3 linked regions of the Sus scrofa genome follow. The protein of the gene in region 3 binds, or shares a complex with, the protein of the main gene of each other region. Links are inferred from orthologs where the notes say so. Each region holds a gene or a part of one and is shown on either strand. Other genes may lie near its edges.

Evidence for each region. Proteins that work in one complex are often made in the same cells at the same time.
Region 1: the proteins of GLE1 (region 3) and DDX19B are in contact, whole or in part, in a crystal structure (PDB 6B4J), measured with the Homo sapiens proteins. The link is inferred for Sus scrofa from reciprocal best matches to the Homo sapiens genes GLE1 and DDX19B. Residues at the interface, in NP_001003722.1 of Homo sapiens: Lys416, Lys419, Met420, Gln423, Lys424, Thr427, Ile428, Ser431, Gln432, Ile433, Ser434, Thr435, Ile436, Lys440, Gln458, Ser459, Gly460, Lys479, Lys483, Lys486, Gln487, Glu490, Glu491, Ser494, His495, Gln554, Gln562, Asn565; in NP_009173.1 of Homo sapiens: Cys325, Asn326, Tyr328, Gly329, Ala330, Ile331, Thr332, Ile333, Ala334, Glu356, Gly357, His358, Gln359, Arg378, Arg380, Glu381, Gly382, Lys383, Glu384, Lys385, Glu400, Gln401, Ser403, Phe433, Gly434, Lys435, Arg436, Asp469, Asp470, Leu471.
Region 2: the proteins of GLE1 (region 3) and NUPL2 are in contact, whole or in part, in a crystal structure (PDB 6B4I), measured with the Homo sapiens proteins. The link is inferred for Sus scrofa from reciprocal best matches to the Homo sapiens genes GLE1 and NUP42. Residues at the interface, in NP_001003722.1 of Homo sapiens: Ile385, Ile593, Leu598, Asn599, Trp602, Arg603, Ala606, Gln607, Leu609, Asn610, Gln636, Tyr637, Gln638, Val639, Gln640, Lys643, Met644, Ile646, Leu647, Glu650, Asp651, Tyr652; in NP_001357375.1 of Homo sapiens: Asp185, Asn186, Val187, Leu188, Phe189, Gln202, Phe203, Gln204, Ser205, Lys206, Lys207, Phe208, Leu210, Gly211, Lys212, Ile213, Pro214, Leu215, Lys216, Pro217, Pro218, Leu222, Leu223, Asn224, Val225.

The regions. Positions count from the first base shown.
Region 1 is NC_010448.4:13,348,515-13,352,866, forward strand, and holds part of DDX19B (ATP-dependent RNA helicase DDX19B), read left to right. Parts: intron 1-243; coding exon 244-358; intron 359-2,744; coding exon 2,745-2,922; intron 2,923-3,267; coding exon 3,268-3,505; intron 3,506-4,352. UniProt on the Homo sapiens protein: ATP-dependent RNA helicase involved in mRNA export from the nucleus.
Region 2 is NC_010451.4:91,998,852-92,002,924, reverse strand, and holds the end of NUPL2 (nucleoporin-like protein 2), read right to left. Parts: intron 3,499-4,073; coding exon 3,414-3,498; intron 2,784-3,413; coding exon 2,224-2,783; 3' UTR 1,127-2,223; downstream 1-1,126.
Region 3 is NC_010443.5:268,892,266-268,897,280, forward strand, and holds the start of GLE1 (nucleoporin GLE1), read left to right. Parts: upstream 1-2,015; 5' UTR 2,016-2,135; coding exon 2,136-2,234; intron 2,235-4,914; coding exon 4,915-5,015. UniProt on the Homo sapiens protein: Required for the export of mRNAs containing poly(A) tails from the nucleus into the cytoplasm. May be involved in the terminal step of the mRNA transport through the nuclear pore complex (NPC).

The DNA of each region.
Region 1 (4,352 bases), on a different chromosome or scaffold from region 3:
CTCTGGCGTAGGCCGGTGGCTACAGCTCTGATTGGACCCCTAGCCTGGGAACCTCCATATGCAGCGGGAGCGGCCCAAGAAATAGCAACAACAACAACAACAAAAAGACAAAAAAAAAAAAAAAAAAAAAAAAAAATTCTTTCCTTCAGCCTCAGCCGCAGGAATAGTTAAGGCCTACTGGTAATTTCCCATTGCAGGAGCGCAAGTGTCTTGAATTCTCTCTCTGTACTCTTTCCCTACCAGTGTCTGTGCCTTTCCCCAACTTATGAGCTTGCCCTTCAAACGGGGAAAGTGATTGAGCAGATGGGCAAATTTTACCCTGAACTGAAGCTAGCTTATGCTGTTCGTGGCAATAAATGTGAGTATGAATATAAGATCCTAATTAAGTTAATAACTTTTTAATTTGAAAATTTTCAAAATATACTCAGTAACTGAAATAATACAATGAACATGTGTCCACCTAGATTCGAAAAGTTATGAAAGGAATGGATGTGTATATATGTATAACTGAATCACTTTGTTGTACAGCAGAAATTATCACAACATTGTAAATCAACTATACTTCAATAAAATTTAAAAAAATGAAAAAAAATGTTAACATTCTGCCATATTTGCTTTTGTATATGGGTGTGTATATTTTTGGTGAACGATGTGAAAATAAATTGTAGATATTGTGGCTCTTTACCCCTAAATACTTTAGTATGCGTTTCATAATAAGAACATTCTTCAGCATACCCACAAAACCCTTATTACAACCAAGAAAAGATTAACATATTCTCTTCTATTCTGTTTTCATGTCCCCCTAATTGTCCCAGAGTCCCAGAAGTGTTTCTTTAGGCTTTTTTTTTTTTTTTTTTTTTTGGCCAGTCCTATGGCCTGCAGAAATTCCCAGGCCAGGGATCAAACCTTCAGAACTGCACCACAGCAGTGACAACTTGGATTCTTAACCCACTAGGTCACCAGAGAACTCCCTTTATGACTTTTTTGTTGAACCAAGACTTAGTCAGTGTATATGCATTGTATTTGGTTTTTAAGTCTCTTTCAGTCTAGAATAATCCCCTCACATCCACCTACTCCGCTACATTTGACTTTTTGAACAGACCAAACTAACTGCTTATAAAATGCTCCCAATTCTGGATGTTTAATTGCCTAATTTTTTTAATGTCATTGTAAGAACAAAAAGTGTTTTAGAGTATTCATGGCAATTAACTCTGGGAGATATTTTTATTACTTTTTCTTTATCTATCCTTTCTGCTTTTGCATGTTTCACACAGCAAGCTAACTATATATTTTTTGAACAATACTTAAGTAAGTTAAAGTTTGTTGGAATCTTGGCTTAGTCCTATGGATCTTTAACACAAACCTATGACTTGATGACTGTCAGAAGTCCACTCAGTACAGTGTCTTAATGCCAACTTAAGGCAGTTCCGGAGAGAAAAGTAAATAAGATAATAAAACTTAGTTTAAAATCATCATAAAGCATGTGAAATACTGCAATTTGGGAGTTCCCTGGTGGCCTAGGAGGTTAAAGATCCACCACTGTCACTGCTATGGCACAGGTTCTATTCCTGGGCTGGGAACTTCCCCATGCTGTGGTGTAGCCACAAAAAAAAAAAAAAAAAAAAAAAAAAAAAAAAAAATTCAGATTTGAGTTCGAATGGCAGAGGATTCTGATTATTTATTTGTCTGCAGAGGGCAGTAATTGGTTTGTTAACTGAAGTAAAAAAGCATTTTTTAGCTTTAAATTGACTCAACATTTACTTTAGGGCAAAATTTTGGCTGTGACTAGAGGGAGCTTCTATGTATCTGGTTAAGGTTTTACTGTGATTAAAGGACAAAAAATTGAATTAATGAGTACCCTCTAACTCAAAATGAGCCAAATTTCAGTTGCAAGCTGCACAGGACCAAGAATGTGCCATGATATGCCAGGCCCAATCTGGGAAAGCACTATAAGAGAGGCAGTTTGTATCTTTGAAAAGAGAAAAATAACCTTTCATAAGAATCTTATTTACTGATCTGGGCAAGGGGCACACAAAGGCAACTGACTTACTTGACATAGATGCTGGGAGAACTGAAGGGCAAAGTACACTGGAGTGAGAAGAACTTTAAAGAGGTCTACTTGTAAGGAAATGCATACCCAGGCTAGGGAGGATGACGTTGACAGAGAAGAAATAAAGATAAGAAATCTTTGAGAGGATTGATGATTATAGAGAATGTAAAAGAATACCACCGAAGAGGTTTTCACCTAATTATTTATACCATTGCTATATCTTGTCAGCATTACTGTTTTTTCTAAGTTATGTCCATTAAATACTGTAGTGCTGTCCCAACCTTTCCTTAAAATATTAATGCAAACATCAGCCAAATTGCATTAAAAAACATCATAGCTTTAGGGAGTTCCCGTCGTGGCTCAGTGGTTAACAAATCCAACGAGGAACCATGAGGTTGCGAGTTCAATCCCTGGCCTCACTCAGTGGGGTTAAGGATCCAGCGTTGCCATGAGCTGTGGTGTATGTCGAAGATGCGGCTCGGACCCTCGTTGTTATGGCTGTGATATAGGCCAGTGGCTACAGCTCTGATTCAACCCCTAGCCTGGAAACCTCCATATGCCGCACACTCGGCCCTAGAAAAGATAAAAAGACCAAAACAAACAAACAAACAAAAAAACATAGCTTCAGAATTGCTCAGGGAGGAGAGCTGGCTTTGTCATGGAAATACTCACAGAATACATCTTGTCTCCACAGTGGAAAGAGGTCAGAAGATCAGTGAGCACATTGTCATTGGCACCCCTGGGACCGTTCTGGACTGGTGCTCCAAGCTCAAGTTCATTGACCCCAAGAAGATCAAGGTGTTTGTTCTGGATGAGGCAGACGTGATGATAGCTACTCAGGGCCACCAAGACCAGAGCATCCGCATCCAGAGGTAGGAGCTCTTGGGCCAGGAGGAACTTCTCCTCGGCCTCCTGATCTGCAGCCTCTTCTCCTTTCACTTCACACTCCTCTTCTTGCTCCAGCTAGGTGCTTACTGCTTTCAGGGGCATCCGGTTTGAGGCCCATTTCCATGTCAGAAATGACCATACCCCCAGCCTGGGCTGAGGAAGGAGACTTAGGGGACTCCTAACACCACCCGGCCCTGCCCCACACCTGCTCCTCGATGTGCCACCCTCCTGGGGACGTAGATCCCCAAGCTGGGGGAGGCTGTGCTCCTGTTCCTTCCAGAGAAACGCTCGGTCGGGGTCATGCCCAACACCTGGGCCCTCCTTTGCAGGATGCTGCCCAGGAACTGCCAGATGCTGCTTTTCTCTGCCACCTTCGAAGACTCTGTCTGGAAGTTTGCCCAGAAAGTGGTCCCAGACCCAAATATCATCAAACTGAAGCGTGAGGAGGAGACATTGGACACCATCAAGCAGTATTATGTCCTGTGCAATAACAGAGACGAGAAGTTCCAGGCCTTGTGTAACCTGTACGGAGCCATCACCATTGCTCAAGCCATGATCTTCTGCCATGTGAGTAGCACCAGCAGCAGCAGCAGCAGCAGCAGCAGCAGCAGCAGCAGCAGCAGCAGCAGCAGGAGGGAGAGGCCTGTGGGGGGTGGAGCTCCATGAAGGGTGTGGCCCCGGCCCCAGCCTCTGGGCCAGCTCAACTTAGTGCTGGGGGCTCAGGTTCTCTCCCTGTGGCTGGAAAAGAAATGAATCACCTCCATCTGCCCCTGGACATATCCTCTCAGGTTGTAATGGAGAAGACTGATGATCTAAACCTTCTTTGGGAGTTCTCTTGTGGCGCAGCAGGTTAAGGATCCAGTATTGTCACTGCAGTGACTAGGGTTGCTGCTGTAGTGCATGAAATCAGTCCCTGGCCTGGGAACATCCACATGCTACGGGTGTGGCCAAAAATAAATAAATAAGCAAACCTTTTTTTTTTTAAGCCCGCACCTGCAGCATATGGAGGTTTCCAGACTAGGGGCTGAATCAGAGCTATAGTTGCTGGCCTATACCACAGCCACAGCAATGCAGGATCCAAGCCATGTCTGTGACCTACACCACAGCTCATGGCAATGCCAGATCCTTAACCCACTGAGCAAGGCCAGGGATCAAACACGCAACCTCATGGTTCCTAATCAGATTCATTTCCACTGAGCCACAACAGGGGAACTCCAAGCAAACCTTCTTTGGTCCCACTTGGTATAGATAACTTGGAAAAAACTCCAGATGACATCCAAGGAAATTATTTTATTTTTATTTATTTTTAATTTTTTTTACAAGGAAATAATTTTAAAGTATTAAACATATAGGAAAGAATTAAGAACATTAAGAATTTAGGAGAGAAGACCTTTGGCTTAAACCAGTCTTCAAA
Region 2 (4,073 bases), on a different chromosome or scaffold from region 3:
CAATCTATGCAATCAGAGAAAATATTTGCAAATCATATACATGATAAATGGTTAATATTCAGAATTCGTAGGGAATTAAAACTCACAAGAAAACAAATAACACTATTTTAAAATTGGCAAAGGAGTTGAACAGATAGCCTTCCAAAGAAGATATATAAATTGTCAACAAGCATATAGAAAGATGCTCAACATCACTAATCGTAAGAGACATGCAAATCAAAATCACAATGAGATACCACCTTACATCTATCAGGAAGGCCACTATTTAAATAAGAAAATAAGTTTGAGGAAGATGTGGAGAAACTGAAATCCTGCTGGTGGGACTGTAAGATGATGTAGCTGCTATGAAGGACAGTGTAAAGATTTCTCAAAAAACTAAACAAAGAGTTGCCTCATGATCCCGCAAACCTATTTCTGGCTATATAGCCAAAATAATTCAAAGCAGAATCTCAAAGAAATGTTCATTACAACATTATTTACAATAATGAAGAGATAGAAGCAACCCAAATGTCAGTAACAGATGAATGGATAACAAAAATGTGGTTCATACACTACTATTACACAACCTTAAGGATAGGAAATTCTATCATATTCTACAACATGGATAAGCCTTGAGGCCATTACACTAAATGAAATAAACCAGTCATAAAAGGACAATTACTCATGAGGTATCTAAAGGAGTCAAATCAGGAGTTCCTGTTGTGGCTCAGCAGGTTAAGGACCTGAAGTTGTCCCTGTAAGGATGTGGGTTCAATCCTTGGCCTGGCTCAGTGGCTTAAGAATCCAGTGTTGCCACAAGCTGCAGCATAGGTCACAGATGTGGCTTGGACCTGATGTTGCCATGGCTGTGGTTAGGCCTGTAGCTGCAGCTCTGATCCAGCCCCTGGCCTGGGAACTTCCATATGCTGCAGAAGCTACCACAAAAAGAAAAAATAAATGAAGCAGTCAAATAATAGACTGTAGAAATGTGATTGTTCTTATAGGAGAAAGGAGGGAGGGAAATTCTATTCCATATGCTGGGGTTCCAAAACTGTTTGAATCATACAGTTCTTCAAAAGGTGTAACGGAAAATCTGGATCCTCTGAGGATTGAATCCTTTGCATATATACTAAAGTCATGTGGAGTACATCTTTTATAAGTTTTTATTTTATTTACACCTAAAAAAATCAGTTCAATATCAGATCTAGTTTAGGTAACTATTCTCAAAGTGCCAGCTATGTCATTTTTGAGGCTTGAGAAAGAAACATTGAATTCTGACATATATGCTTCAGCTCATGACAGGTCTTTGGCTACTTGGATCAACTACATATAAGATATACAATATATTGCCCCAATCTGAGGACACAGAGAGACACAAACGTGTCTGAAAATTCTAATAGAAACAGCTGGTGAATTCGACTCCTCTACATACACTATTTATTCACATGAGATCATAATTTCCATTCCTCTTAGAATCCAGCCACCTGATGGAAGAATGTGAGGAAAAAACAGTATTACAGAAAAATTAGGCCAAGATAAAATTAGCCTAAAATTGCCAAAGAAAACTCAGATGGTCCATGAGACAGTCAATATTGAGTGGGAACAATTCTGAGAGGTGGAGTTCCCTTGGGTGCAGCAGGTTAGGGATCCTGCATTGTCACTGTGGCACTTTGGGTCACTGCTGTGACTCGGGTTCATTTCCTGGTCTGGGAACTTCCGCATGCTCTGGGAGTGGCCCATTAAAAAAAAACTGTGAGGGGAAAACGCCCCTTAGGTCCTGAAAATAAAAGTTTCCGCCCTTTAAAAACTGCTATTTCGTTAAGAGAATCTTCTTGAACATGAAAGTCAGGCTTCTGATATTTATTTGGTAAGTAGGTTAAACATTCAAGCATTTTTCCCTACTGGTTCTAAAAACTGTCTCATTTCTTTAAAAAAGTTTAAAGCTAAAATTTTAAATGGTAAGACAGTAAAGTGATGTAGAATAAGAAAAGTACTTTATTCAGTGTGGATTGATCATTTTTTCAGTTTCATTCATAATAATAGTTAAAAAAAATCTGTTCTTGAGTATTTTTTATGTTCCATTTAAATAGTTAGGTTCAAGGGGAAAATGTTAAATTTAAAAACTAATGTTATTAAAAGTTTACATTTCTTATAAATTTAAATGTGTATATATATTTGCTCTTTCATATGAACCACTCAAAACAATTTTAAAAACTGTTCTTTTCTATATTTAAAATTGCCCTTTTAAATATTTATGAGTTCCACAGGCGGTGGCTTTAAGGGAATTTTTCCCAAAGTGAATTTCTTAGATTGAAATTGTTCTAGTTCTTCCACTGTTAGTTGATCCTTGGGTGTGAATAATACATTATCTGTTGTGCCATGTGAGACTGGGAGAGAGGTGGATAGGCTGCTATTTCCAAAGGTGTCACTGGATGACTTGGAAAAAGCAGCATGAGAATGTGAGCCAGGACTACCAAAACCAGCCACAGAACTGCCACTTCCAAAGGCTGGGGCAACAGGGTCTGCTGCCATTGGAGCTGGAAATCCTGAAAATCCGGATGATCCAAAACCAGAAGCTGCAGGGGTTTTAAACGAAAATGAAGCAGCAGATGTGATTTCGGGCTTCCCAAGTCCAAAAGTTGGGGCAGAAGCGCTGATGGCAGAACTGGCAGAGGGTGTGGCTCCAAATGCCGGAGTACTCCCAAACACAGAAGGACTTCCAGAGGGGGCAGCAGCAAATGAAGACCTTGGTTTAAAACTAAAATTCTGAGCACTACAACTGCTGTTGCTATTCACTGGAAAACCTACAAAGAAACAGAAAAAAAAAATATTAGAAAAGGTAGCTATATGTCTATCCCATGCCTCCTTTTTTTTTCTTATTTCTGCCATGTTTAAATGATGAGAAACTTCCTGGAAGGAAGAAGAAAAACATGAAAATGAGAAGCCAGGACAAACCCACGAAACCCTGTGGTCTGTCTTTCTGCTACACTGATCTCATCTGTACTGTAATTTACCTTTACTCACAGAGACTGCTCTTGAGAAAACTCAGGGATGAGGGAGTGACTCTTCATTTCAGCTTGTCCCTCATGTCACTGGGTCTGTCACTTGAGGTCAAAATTCTGCTGTTACGTATAGGGACAAGAAAGTCCTCAAAGGTGCTACTATCATAGTAACGTATTACTATAAAACTCTTGAAAAACCATTCCTAAAATATACTTCTAAGCTAGAGGGTCTTTCAGAGAACATGCCCATTCCGGCCCCCATTTCACAAATGCTTGATGAGTCAAATTCTTTGAAGCTCTCTTATAGAAGGTGGTAGAATTTACAAGAGTGACTTGAAATGGCACTTAATCAACCTTCAGGCTTTATGATTTGAAACCTATAAAATCCTATTTTTAGAAATCAGTGAAGTCCTGCATTACTCCATCACTTACCTGGTGACCCAAATGTTACTGCCTGACTACTGCCAAATCCAAATGCAGGTGCTGCTTGCTTTACTCCATCTTTTACATCAGAGAGCTATTAAAAAAGAAAGAATATACACTTTATATAGCCAAATTAAATTTTTACAATGTGCACTTAAAAATGTGATGGTAAATGCTTAACAGAGAAAAATGCCCACAAATGAATACTCAGATAAAATATGGACCAGCTTCAATGAATTCAGAGTGATTATCTAGCTGATAAATTATGGATGGTTTTTATTTATGCTTTTAAAACATTTTCTGAATTTCTTTGATGAATACATATTAAAACATAAAGATACCTTTTATTTTATTTAATTTTTTGGCTGCACCTGTGGCATATGGTAGTTCCTGGGTCAGGGATGGAATCCACGCCATATCAGTGACCCAGGTAACTGCAGCAACAACACTAGATCCTTAATTTGCTGTACCACAAGAGAACTCCAAAAAAATAATTATTCTTTTTTTTTTTTTTAAACAGCTACACTTATGCCCTGGAAATTCCCAGGCTAGGGGTTGAATTGTAGCTGCAGCTACAGGCCTATGCCATGGCCACAGCAACACCAGATCTGAGCCACATCTGTGACCTACACTATAGCTGGCAGCAACTTAACCCACTGAGTGAGGTCA
Region 3 (5,015 bases):
AGGGGCTATTTTTGTTCTCTTCACATTTTCCTGTATTTATAAGAAAGAGCAACACATCCTTCAGGGAGAAGAGAACAAATCTGGTACTGGCTGCACCTTGAACTTTCCATTCCAGCTGGCATTGGCCTTCTGGGTGATCCAGTCTTGTCCCCTCTTGGCCACTCTGACCCAAGTCCAGAACTCCAGACAATTCCTGTGTCCTTAAAAGCAGTGGGTCCCACTTGGGCCTCTGGATGTCACCATCAGAACCTCTCTCCACCCCAATTTAGGAAACGTTTGTAGTTTCTAGCTTTTTATTTTACCGAGGAAGGTCCCTGAAATAACTACCACCAGCTACCATTGCCACGAAACCAGGCCTGTGGTCACACACTTAATGTCAATGGACTTGTACTTCGTATCGTGTATGAAAGATCTTAAGAGACCGTTGTGGCTTCCTGCTGCAGCGCAGTGGGTTAAGAAATGACCACATAGAATTCCTGTCGTGGCTCGGTGGTAACAAATCTGACTGGGATCCATGAGGATGCGGGTTCGATCCCTGGCCTCGCTTAGTGGGTGAAGGATCCGGCATTACCATGAATTGTTGTGTAAGTCACAGATGAGGTTCAGATCCCAAGTTGCTGTGGCTGTGGTGTGGGCCAGTAGCTGCAGCTTTGCTTCAGCCCCTAGCCTGGGAACTTTCATATGCTGCGGTACAGCCCTAAAGAGCCAAAAATGAATAATTAAACAAATCTGACTACAGTAGCTCATGTCGCTGTGGATTAAGGTGCAGTGGGTTAAGGAACTGGCGTTGCTTCAGCTGTGACATAGGTGGGGCTTGGATTCCATCCCTGGCCTGGGAATTTCCATATGCCATGGGTGCAGCCAAAAAAAAAAAAAAAAAAAAAGACAGTTGGCAAACTCACACCCATGTGTATTCATTTCTGTATAACTCATGACTCTTATTTTTGTCAAACTAATGGAAACCTCTTCAGTACAGAGCTCTGCTGTGGGTGATGCTGGTGTGGGAAACACCCCCCTTGGGGGCCATTGCTGGAATTCTCCCAACAACGTTCTATTTTTCTTTGTAAAATACTGTATGACAAAAAGCCCAGAGTGTTTTTGATAAATGAAAAATGTTTCTATTGCTTCAGACTCCAGAGCGTTTTCCTTTCTGCCTCAACTGAGATCCCATGAAATGGGGAAAAGAGTCAAAAGTTCAAGTGTCCCTATTTAAAGCTGGCCTCCGGCAACGGTGAATCATTTGTTGAGGTAGAATTCACGTAACATAAAATGCATTCTTTTCAAGTGCATGATCCAGCGGTTTTTCGTATATTCAAAGTTGTGCAACCACCACCTTTATCTAATTCTTGAACATTTTCATCACCCATAAGTGAATCCCGTACCTGTTAGCATCCACTCCCCATTCCCGTCCTCCCAGCCCCTGGCAACCACTAATAAAGTCCCTATGTCTTTTTGGCTTTGTCACTTTGCCCATTTCACATAAATCACAATATGGTGACTGTCTCCTTTCACTTATAGTGTTTTCAAGGTTTCATGTTGTAGGCGTGTATTCGTACTTGATTTTTGTGGCCCAATATTCCATTGTGTGGATACACCATATCTTATTGACTCATCAGTTGATAGGCACTTGAGCTTCCATCTTTTGGCAATTGTACATCATGCTGCTACCAATATTCTACGTTCTTTGTGGACACGTAGCTTTTGGGTATATACGAAGCTGAACTGCCGGGTCAATGTTAACTCTTTAACCTTCTGACCAAGTGCTAGACTGTTTTCCACAGGAGTTGCCCCCTTTTAGACCCCCATCGGCAGTGTCTGAGGGTTCCAATGCCTCTGCATTCCTCATCACCACCTATTCAGTTTTCTGCAAGCTCAAAGGGCCGGCCTTCGAAGGCCTTCGGTCTACCCAGCTCCCTGGAACGCAGCGACAGTCCAGAGCCGAGCTCCGTGCGCAAGCGCGTCAGTGGGCGGGCTCGGCGCAGGGGGCGGGGCCATGCGGACGTTAGGGGCGGGGTTGCAGTGCGCAGCTGCGTGCGCGCCCCGGAAGCGGAAGCGAGCACCCGTTTCCGGGCGGCTGATTCGAGGAGTTGTTTTGTCTCCGGCGGCACCTGTGAGGAGCTGCTTCGAGGCAGGCCATGCCTTCGGAAGGTCGCTGCTGGGAGACCCTGCAGGCGCTGCGCAGTTCGGGCAAAGGTCGCCTGTGCTACCACCGCGACTGGCTGCTGCGGGGCGAGGTGAGCAATGGCCCAGAGGCGCGTCACGGGACGCTGCTTCTTTGTAACAACCAGCCGTTGACTCCTGAGTGCGCCTCACCCTGCCTTGGCGTTTCTGCCTTCTCCCGCCTGGTTTGGCTTTTCGGGGAGCCCCTATTCAGAGGTGCCCTTCTCTGGAGGTTTCAGTGCTCTCCTCCAGGCCGGAGTCAGGCGCCCCTGCCTCTTAGGGTCAGCGAATTTACTGCGCGTCTCTTCCGTTGGGAGATCCAGATTTAGCGGTGAAAGGTTAATGTGACCTAACCTATTGCTCCCAATGAAAAGACCAGATTTTTAGATGACATTGGGCAGACCTGGAAAGTGTAATGGGGGCGTGGTCCGTGCACCTGGGATTTGCAAAGCCCTGTACTGTAGACAGTTAAGGCTCAGCTCTTCTTCCCGAGTTGCTGGTAATCTAGGTACAGACGTGACGTTTGTCTCTTCAGGCTTAAATGTGTCAGTTCTAAAGCATTTCCTTGTTATGTCTTTGACAGTTTTAAAGAATACATACTTTATATAGCATGAATCCCAGCACGAGTCTGTTTGGTGTAGACTCAGGTTATGCGTTCTTGGCAGGAATACCACAGAAATGATGCTGTGTTCTCAGTAAGTCACATGAATAGGTCACATCAGTAACACACAGGTGCTTCATTCCAGCCCAGCACTGGTGATGGCACTGACCTTGATCACATGGTCACACTGGTATCTGCCAGATACCAATCCACTTGAAAATCATTTTTCCCTTTGTAATTGATTACTGTTTTGTGGGGGGGTATTCCAAGATTAGACCAATATATTTTTTTTCTCATCAAACCTCCACCCTTAGCGTTTATTGACGACTTCTGCATGAATTAGTCTCTTCTGTGATGTAGCCAAATGGTGTTTCTTTATGTCTACCATTCCTTATACATATTGTAAGGAAGTGCTTTCGTTTCTCCCGTTTAATTATTTATATCACTATCCTCACGGGTTCCTGTTTTATTCAGTGAGTTATGATCCATTACTTGTAACCTTGTATGTGTATTTCCGTCTTTTATTTTTATTTTTTTGGTCTTTTTAGGGCCGCACTCATGGCATATGGAGGTTCCCAGGCTAGGGGTCCAATCAGAGCTACAGCTGCCGGCGTACACCACAGCCACAGCCACGTCAGATGTGAGCTGTATCTTCAACCTACACCACAGCTCATGGCAATGCCAGATCCTTAACCCTCTGAGCGAGGCCAGGGATTGAACCTACATCTTCATGGATGCTAGTCAGCTTCGTTAACCACTGAGCCATGACGGGAACGCTTGTATTTCCACCTTGTGTGAAGTATTGTCTTCAGGATAAATGCTAGAAGTGAGATGCTGAGTCAGAAGGTAGGCATAGATGTAGTTTTATTATTTATTGCCACGTTCTCTCTGGGTATATTGTTTGTCTTCCAGTTAGCAGTGCATGATCATGCCTGTTTGCCCACGGCCTTGTCAGCAGAATGTATCGTTTTATTTTTTTTGCCTGTCTCATAGGTAAGAATGAGATTGCAGTGTGGTTTTACAGTATGTTTTTATCTTGATTGAGATCAAACATTTTTTCTATATTCAAGCACCAATTTTATATCTTTACTTGCAAATTTCAAGTTTATATATTTTGCTCCTTTTTTTACTGGGGTTTTGGTATTTCCCCCCAAAATTTTTTTTCTTTTTTTTCTTTTTAGGGCTGTACCTACAGCATATGGAAGTTCCTGGACTAGGGGTTGAATCGGAGCCGTAGCTGCTGGCCTGTGCCATAGCCACAGCAACCCAGGATCTGAGCCACATTTGCAACTTACATCACAGATTGCAGCAATGCTGGATCCTTAACCTATTGAGCAATCCAGGGATCAAACCTGAATCCTCACGGACACTATGTTGGGGTCTTAACCCACTGAGCCACAACGGGAACTCCAGTGGCGTTTTTTGTATATATGGTTTTTATTTTCTACATTTGAAGCTCTGGTCCTGAAATTTATTTTGGTGTAAAGAATGAGTAACGAGGAGTTTCCGCTGTGACACAGTGAGTTAAGAATCCGACTGCAGTGGTTCAGGTCGCCGAGGAGGTATGGATGTGATCCCTGGCCCTGCCCACTCGGTTAAAGGATCCAGCGGTGCCACAGCTGGGGCTCGGATTCAGTCCCTGGGCCTCAAACGTCCATGTGCTGCAGGTGTGGCCAGTTAAAAAAAAAAAAGAAAAAAAAACAAGTAAAGCGTTGTTGCCTCACCGTTATTTCCAGTATGTCTTTATCTTCGTGTGTTTGTGTGTATTTATTTATTTAGGCGTTGGGTTTTCAACAAAACATGTAGTGGATTATAAGGACAAAATTCTTTTTTTTTTTGTCTTTTTGCCATTTCTTGGGCCGCTTCCTGTGGCATATGGAGGTTTCCAGGCTAGGGGTCTAATCAGAGCTGTAGCCACCGGCCCACGCCAGAGCCACAGCAATGCGGGATCCGAGCCGCGTCTGCAACACCACAGCTCATGGCAACGCTGGGTCCTTAACCCACTGAGCAAGGGCAGGGACCGAACCCGCAACCTCATGGTTCCTAGTGGGATTCGTTAACCACTGCGCCACGACGGGAACTCCCCAAAATTCTTTTTGATTGCTTAGATCAGGTGACATGAAAGTTGAGCTTAACTCTCTTCTTCCCTCTAGGATGTTTTAGAAGAATGCATGTCTCTTCCCAAGCTGTCTTCTTACTCTGGGTGGGTGGTAGATCATGTCCTACCTCACATGCAAGAGAACCCTCCTCCTTC